Linked DNA regions of Lepisosteus oculatus. The protein of the gene in region 1 interacts with the protein of each later gene in a pairwise test. Links are inferred from orthologs where the notes say so. Each region holds a gene or a part of one and is shown on either strand. Other genes may lie near its edges.

Region 1 (3,753 bases):
ACACGCAAGCTTCACCTTCCGCGGACCGGCCCCGCCGTCCCGCTGAGGGCTGGGGGCTGGGGGCTCCTCTGTAAGTCTTAGTACACTTATCTGGCGACCCCTGTGCCCCCACAGGTTAATACGAAAGGGGTTTCTGTCTCTGTCCTGCTTAAAACAGCCGGCCGCCTCTCTCTTGCTTTTGGCGCCGCCGCTTCCTCGGCCTCGTGAGCGCGCACGTCGTCAGCTGGAGCGCGGGCACGAGCAGGAGGCGCTGGCTCCAGTCCTGCTTCCTAAAAAATTCCCAGCGCATTAATTAACCATCCGGCCTGATTCCGACACCGACTGCTTTAATGTCAGACAACACACACCGCAAGGTCGAGTCTTCCAACAGCACGCTTGCGGGGAAATAAATCGTTATGTTTAAAATGTTATTTCTAAGCTCTCAGTACGGGATTTTATCCACAGAAGCTGAGGCAGAGCGTTCCGCTCACAAAACTCGGACCGATTTAAAGTGTTGTGAAATGGGAGTCAGATTTGCTTGTGTTTTTTTTTTTTTACCAAAAGACTATAACCGTAACAGGTATTTTCAGAAAATTAAACCCGGTGACAGCTTTTATATCCCCCACCCCATAACACACAAACAAAAACGAATAGCTTCTGCTCAGCAACTGATTTGAAAGTAAGGCGCCCTTTCTCAAGAGGGCGGCGTGCTCAGCTGCCCAAGCCCAGCGCGCCCCCTGCAGGCAGGCCGGGGAGGGGCGGGGCCTTCGCGGGGGCGGGCCTTCCGGGCGGAAGCGCCGCTGCCGAGCCTGCGGGAGAGAGGCAGAGTGACAGGAGGGCCGGAGCGCAGAGGGGGAGAGAGCCGGAGAGCGGGCTGAAGTGGACAAATACAAAAACTACATAAAAAAAAAAACTAAACATCCATATGGCTTCCAGGGTACTGAGTCTGAGCAGCGCCTGCTGTCTGCTGCTGTATTTCGCGGCGGCTGTGCTGGCAGGGTGAGTCAACCGAGGCGCTTTCAGCGGCGCTCATACCGGCTGGTACACATGTTGCGCTGTGATTGGTCTGCCGCGGCTCGGACCCTTCCGCCGGGCTGGGCGGCGATGGCAAGCCGCCGCTTGTGAATTGCGGGTTTTGAGGCTGTTGCACTTTTTAACAGGCTTGCTGGCGGCGTGTCCCCGTAGGGGAGCTGGTGTATGTTGCACTGGTGTTGCCTGGTCGCTATACACGCTTTGAAAGGGCTGGCGCAGGGTCCGATGTACGCACCTCCTTACCTAACACACCGGTCCGTGCCCTGTTACATACTGGGATGCATCAGCCCGTTTCTTTAAAACTATCTCGTCAGTTTTTTTTTCAAATATATATATTTTAAGTGGGTTGCAAAACTGTACGCAGACGTTTCCATGAATGCAACCGACTCGGGGTTCCCTCTCGTTCGGGGTTCATTCGCTCGTGGGTTCGGTTTCCTTTCGGCTGACTGGAGGGAACACCAGCCCCATTGCGTGTTTCATGTCCGTCCCCTGCATCTGGGAGGGATACTGTGGGAATCCTGGAGTGTCCCTTCTGACTGTAATAAAGACTTTCCTGTGCGCGCTCTCAGAGTCTCTTCACACTGGACCCCACAGTGCTCGTCCAACAGCCCCGAGGGGTACAGGGGGGAAATGGAGCTGTCTGTTTCCAGCTTGCGTGTAAGCAGCCCTCTCCGTGGCGCTGTCTGTTCCTCGGTTCCAGGCGGGATTTCTACAAGATTCTCGGGGTGTCCCGGTCGGCGTCCATCAAGGACATTAAGAAGGCGTACAGGAAACTGGCCCTGCAGCTGCACCCGGACCGGAACCCGGACGACCCCCAGGCGCAGGACAAGTTCCAGGACCTGGGCGCGGCGTACGAGGTGGGTGAGCCGGGCCCGACTGGAGCGCGGAGTCCTGCTGCTCCTCGGTGCCCCCAAGCGCAGTGGAAACCAGTGAGCTGGACCTGCAGGAGGCTGCTGCTGGGGCACAAGGGGATGACCTGGTTTGATTTTGACACGTCCCTAGAAGCGTCCCTAACATTCCCGACGAGTGAGCCGCAGGAGGCCAGCAGGGCTGCCCCTGTAACGCCAGGGCCTGGTAGCTCATGGATATCACCGGTACCAGGAGTGCGTGTGTTGCTTTGTAAGGTGTTGGCATCATTTCCTTGAGCAATACGACAAACAGTACACAAACAACAAGGACATCCCAGCACAGTACAAGTGCAGCTCCCACCCCCAGCTGTGAGCAGGTGTTTAATAGCCTCAGCTGGCTTCTCACCTGCACTCAGGCAGAAATCAGTCTGTGCTGCTCTTGCTGAAATATTCACAGCAGGATTGCTGCCCAGTACCACACCCTGCTGTAGCAGTACGTGCTGTGACTAAAGAAGTCAATGATATGAATGCTAGTATATCAACTTATAATAAACTTTATTTTATATAGCTCCTTTAAAGGTGGCTTCTCAAAGAGCTTTACAGAACAACAACAATGAAATAAAAATTACACAAGATTTGCACAATGAGATCACACAATGAGAGGAGACAGTAGATGGGGGTACTGAATACAGTAGGATCAGGGGGTAAAGAACAGAACCAGTCAAGGAAAGGTGTTTCTGAAGAAGGTGGCTTTGAGTCTGGATTTGAAGGAGTTTAGAGAAGGTGGCTCTCTGATATCCCTGGGGACTTCTGCGGCGTTACTGTAACCCTCCTCTCTGGCTGGGTGATGGAATCCTTCCTGCCCTACACTTGCACTGGGCCCCGTCCAGTGATTTCGATTATATCACTCGATCTCTTCTTTCACTGCCTTGTCTCCTGTGCTATAGAGTGTTTCGGTTCAGGTTGTCACTGGAAATGTCAACTGGCTCAACGGGTTAGACAAAGGTCGGTGATTGCCCAGCAGGTCTGTGGTGTTTGTGGGGCCTGTCAGTGATCCAGAGGCTGTAGTCACACCTGGACTGTTCTGATTGGCTCAGCTGTTTCCTTCCTGCTGTCTCTCTCCCTCAGAGAACGGGGGTGGGTGGGTGGGGGTGTGTGTGTCAGTATAGACCCCGGAGAGAAAGACAATCGCCTTACTGGCATCTGGGCTACAGTTGTGTAATATTATAGCACCTTGTGTCGTGGACTATGCTTTTGTACAACCCACAGTAACATTAAAAGGAAAATCTGGGTCATGATACCCAGCAAGCCCTGAGCCTGAAACTCAAGCAGGTGTTGTTGTTTATTAGCTCCTGGGCCTTTTTTGGCAAGACAGACCTAATTAAATTGTCTTCCGAAGAAAACGTATGTGTAATGTAATAGCGTCCCTTCTGTTAGACCTGTTTCCTGAATCTTCTCTCGTTCGGTCTCAGTTGTCTTTAGCAACGTGTTTCGGTTGCAGCAACGTAAAATTCAAAACGTCGATGGCTTTTTCCAGAATCGCGCTTGACTGGGGCACGGCAGCTCCGTACCGGCATTAATTAGGTGTGTTTTGATGACGTTATTAATTGCACCTGCCGCGATGTGGAAGAGCTCGGGGCTCAGAGAGCACGCTGCCTCTCGTGAGCCGCTGAGAGTTCCTTTGTTGTTGGAAACGGAGGCCCGTCCTGATTGGTGGACAAGCATGTGTGGCCGCATGTGATTGGTTGAGGGGTGAAGGGGTGAAAGTTGAATTAGCCAGCTGTTTTAACCACGCGGCTGTCTGAGACGCCGGGACCGGAAATCTGCGAATCTGCTCATTACATAGTAATTTAATATGAAACTACATCAGGAAATCTTAAAAGCGTTCTTTTCC
Region 2 (3,753 bases), on another chromosome or scaffold:
CACACACAGTCAAAACAAAAACAAAAATAAGTAAATAATATGAAAGAATGATTGTATCACTTTTAAAACCTTTCTAGTGTGGCAAACTTAATTTATTTAGATATACAAAATTACCTTAGATCTCAGTCTGTGTACAGTAAAAGTTGTTCACATGATTTCAGAATAAATACACGCTGTAATATACCTCAGTCATGTGGTGAATTTCAAGGAAAAATCCAACCATCAAGACCAGGAGTTATCAACTCCTAAAGTTGTACAAAAGCACTAATCAGAAGAAAGGTATAAATGATATGTCTTTCAAATTACATATGCCCTTAATATGTCTTTGAGCATGGTGAAGTTGATTAAGAAGTGAAGGCAACCAGACAGTTGATAGAAAATGTCCATAGTTTAACAATATTCCAGTTATTCCACAAACCCTTGAATGGAATTGACATACTAACATCTAAAAAACCACAAGAACCTTTCAACTTAATATTTAACTGGTAATGCAAACATGTCACAAATAGTTTTATTGTCAGATAACACAGAATTTGACTTTTCAGGTCTAAATGCAGTGTTACATCTGACACAAACCCATAGTGAACCACTCAATAAACACCCCCACTGCAAAGCATGATGGTGGCAGCATCGTCTTATAGCTTCTCATCAAGAGAAACAGTGAAGTTTATCCGATAGGAACTGAGATGGAGCAAAGAACTGGCAAATCTTACAGGAAAACCTGCTTCAGACATAAAACTGGGATGAAAATTCATCTTTCAGCAGGACAATTAACCAAAGTAGAAGGCCAAAAAGGCAATTAGAAAGTGTATTCCCTATATTGAGTAGCCCAGTCTAAGTCTCGATAGAATTCTTGACTCAATAGGAATCAATAGCAAGGCTGCTGTCTGTGAGTAATCCAAAAGCAACATGAGACAACTTAAGCAAATCTGCCAAGAATGGGCAGGAATTGCACAAAGCTGGTGTGCTAAATTGGAAGAGACTTACCCAAAACCACTTGTGGCTGTGATTACTACCAAAGATGCTTACACCAAATATTAAGTTCATGGGTCTAAATATTTATGCATTATTTCATTGTTTGTATTACTTTATCTTGAATATTAAGTTTAAGAAATTGGTAGGCATCATTTTGTAATTTCATCAATGAAAAGGTAAAAATCAAACACCAATGAAAGGGCTTGAATACTTTTCCAAGACACTGCAGGTATATCCTAAATTATGATGTTCAAAAAGCTGTTTAGTAAATTCAGTAATTTACTAACAATCTTAGTTTAGTTAACTTTGTATGTCTGTATTTAGGTCTTTAGATTTTACAAATGTCACAGAAATTCACCTTTGTACTGTCAGTTTTCAAAGATGTTTCACAACAGTTTTGAAACGCTGAGAAAGTGTCCTTAAAGTGTGCTTCCTTGTAAAGCTGGATTTATCCAGAAAACAATACTGATATAAACAAAGTAAAAGTGAAACTCTGTGTTTAATTGGTAGTCCTCAAGTCTAGTCTACGTGGGACTTACGTATTAAAAATTAAAGCACATGCAATTCATGATTACAATAATTTCCGAGTTTTAGTTCTAAGATGTTGAGATGCTTCCAATAAATTTAACTAAGATTTGCTTACTTAAAAAAAACGAAGAAAAAAGTCATATTTTTCTTATGAATAGCGCCAAGTTTTCTGTTTTATTGTTTCGTTTTTATTCCATTGTATGATAATGAAATATATCACTTGCAATACTGTCACACGCTATTTTTCCTCTTATAATCCACAGAATAACAAAAACAATCAATAAAAGTTATATACATTTTTAAAATGTCGATCTTCTATGAGCGTACTTAACCACAAACTTCCGTCCCTTTCCAAACAGAATACTATTGATCTTTCAAGTATCACTACCATATTATTCAATGTTATTAACTACAAGCAGCTCTTGTTGAGTCTCTTGAAAAACCAATAAAACCCAAGATTCAGGTCGATTTTAAACTAGTGAGATCAGGCAGTGTCACTCTTGCACTTTTATTTGAAAAGCAATGCATTGTGAATTAAATACATATCCACTGTCATCTATTGTTTCCAATCCTGTACTGAGATCTTAAAAGAAAAATTAAATTGCAGCAGTTTGCTATAATTCCTTCAAGAAATCTAACCAAAATTCAACCCCAGGTAAGAAGAATAGTATTTGTAGAAAAGAAAAAAGCTAGTATCGAAGTAGTATACAAATCGAAGAAAAGAAATATACGCAATAAGTAAACGTAGAAAATTACCAAAATAAAATTAAATATACTCACCATACTGAGCTCTCGTTTTGTTAATGTCTCTTCACCTTCCGCCATCTTTCATCTGCCGTAATCTGTTACCAGGACAACGTGTGAGACAGGTCCCAAAACTGCTTTACGACATTGTGGCAAGCGACAGTATCTGTCTTTACACGGCATGGTTGTACGCAACATGCACACATACCAGTGCCTGTAATACTCCTAAGGCTCTCTAGAGACATGTACTGGAATAGAAAAGTAGAAAGGTACAGACTTCATAAATCTCACCTTACTACAACTGAAACTATATTGAGTACCGAAAGAAGCCTATTACTGTGCATGTTTGTCATTAAAAAAAATGAAGTATACTGATTTTGGATGTTGATTAAATGTTTATTTTCTTACTGCCAGCAGCCATATCATCTTGCAACTCACAACTGGCAACCCATTGAAGCTAAGCAGGTGTGAGCCTGGTCACTACCTGGATGTGAGACCTCCTGTGAAAAACTAAGGTTGGTGCTGGAAGAGGTGTTAGTGGGGCGCTCACCCTGCGGTCTATGTGAGTCCTAATGTCTAAGTATAGTGACGGGGACACTATACTGTAAAAAGGCACCGTCCTTCGGATAAGACGTAAAACTGAGGTCCTGACTCTCTATGGTTATTAAAAATCCCAGGGTGTTTCTCAAAAAGAGTAGGGGTGTTACCCCAAATGTCCCATTGGCCTCCTAATATTCCCCATCTATGAATTGGCTTCATCACTCTGTTCTCCTCCCACTGATAGCTGGAGTGTGATGAGTGTTCTGGTGTACTATGGCTGCTGTCACATCATCCAGGGTGGGGCTGCACATTGGTGGTGGTGGAGGGGAGTCCCCATTACCTGTAAAGCGCTTTCAGTGGAGTGTAAAGAAAAGCGCTATATAAATGTAAGCAATTGTTATTATTTTTTAATCATTTTGATTAATTCAAATTCACCTGGTGAAAATCAGTAATAAAAATAATAATACATGTAACAACAACGTTAATTTACAAAGCACCTTTCCAAACCCAAGGAAATTATTCATAGGCCCTAGTAGTGCATTTTACGCTTAGATTTGAAACAGACAGAGAATGTGTCTCTTGACAAGAAATGACATTCCATAACAATGGAGTAAGAAAAAGCACTGTCACCAAAAGTGTGATATTAAGTCCCGGGTTTAGTGAGCAAAAGATCTCGACTGAAAAGACTGTATGAGAAGGAGTGTAAACATAAAGCCATTCAGAGATGCATGAAGGAGCCAGATTATTTAAAGCCTCAAAGGTCATATTGAATACATCACTTGCCAGACTTGTTGCTTATTAAGTGAACATCCAACATTAAATATATGTTGGAATCCAGAAGTGGCACATCAGCTACTGTGACACAGAAAAGCATAATGATGAGGTAATTTTATCAAACCATCCAGCGACATGCCAGCAGGACAACACACACACACACTCCTTTTTCTGGGGTAATATTGCCTTTCA

Evidence for each region.
Region 2: the proteins of dnajb11 (region 1) and ubr1 interact in a two-hybrid assay, tested with the Homo sapiens proteins (2 studies listed by BioGRID and IntAct). The link is inferred for Lepisosteus oculatus from reciprocal best matches to the Homo sapiens genes DNAJB11 and UBR1.

The regions. Positions count from the first base shown.
Region 1 is NC_090707.1:7,356,230-7,359,982, reverse strand, and holds the start of dnajb11 (dnaJ homolog subfamily B member 11), read left to right. Parts: upstream 1-760; 5' UTR 761-904; coding exon 905-978; intron 979-1,711; coding exon 1,712-1,868; intron 1,869-3,753. UniProt on the Homo sapiens protein: As a co-chaperone for HSPA5 it is required for proper folding, trafficking or degradation of proteins.
Region 2 is NC_090703.1:18,757,356-18,761,108, forward strand, and holds the start of ubr1 (E3 ubiquitin-protein ligase UBR1), read right to left. Parts: upstream 2,439-3,753; 5' UTR 2,329-2,438; coding exon 2,284-2,328; intron 1-2,283. UniProt on the Homo sapiens protein: E3 ubiquitin-protein ligase which is a component of the N-end rule pathway. Recognizes and binds proteins bearing specific N-terminal residues that are destabilizing according to the N-end rule, leading to their ubiquitination and subsequent degradation.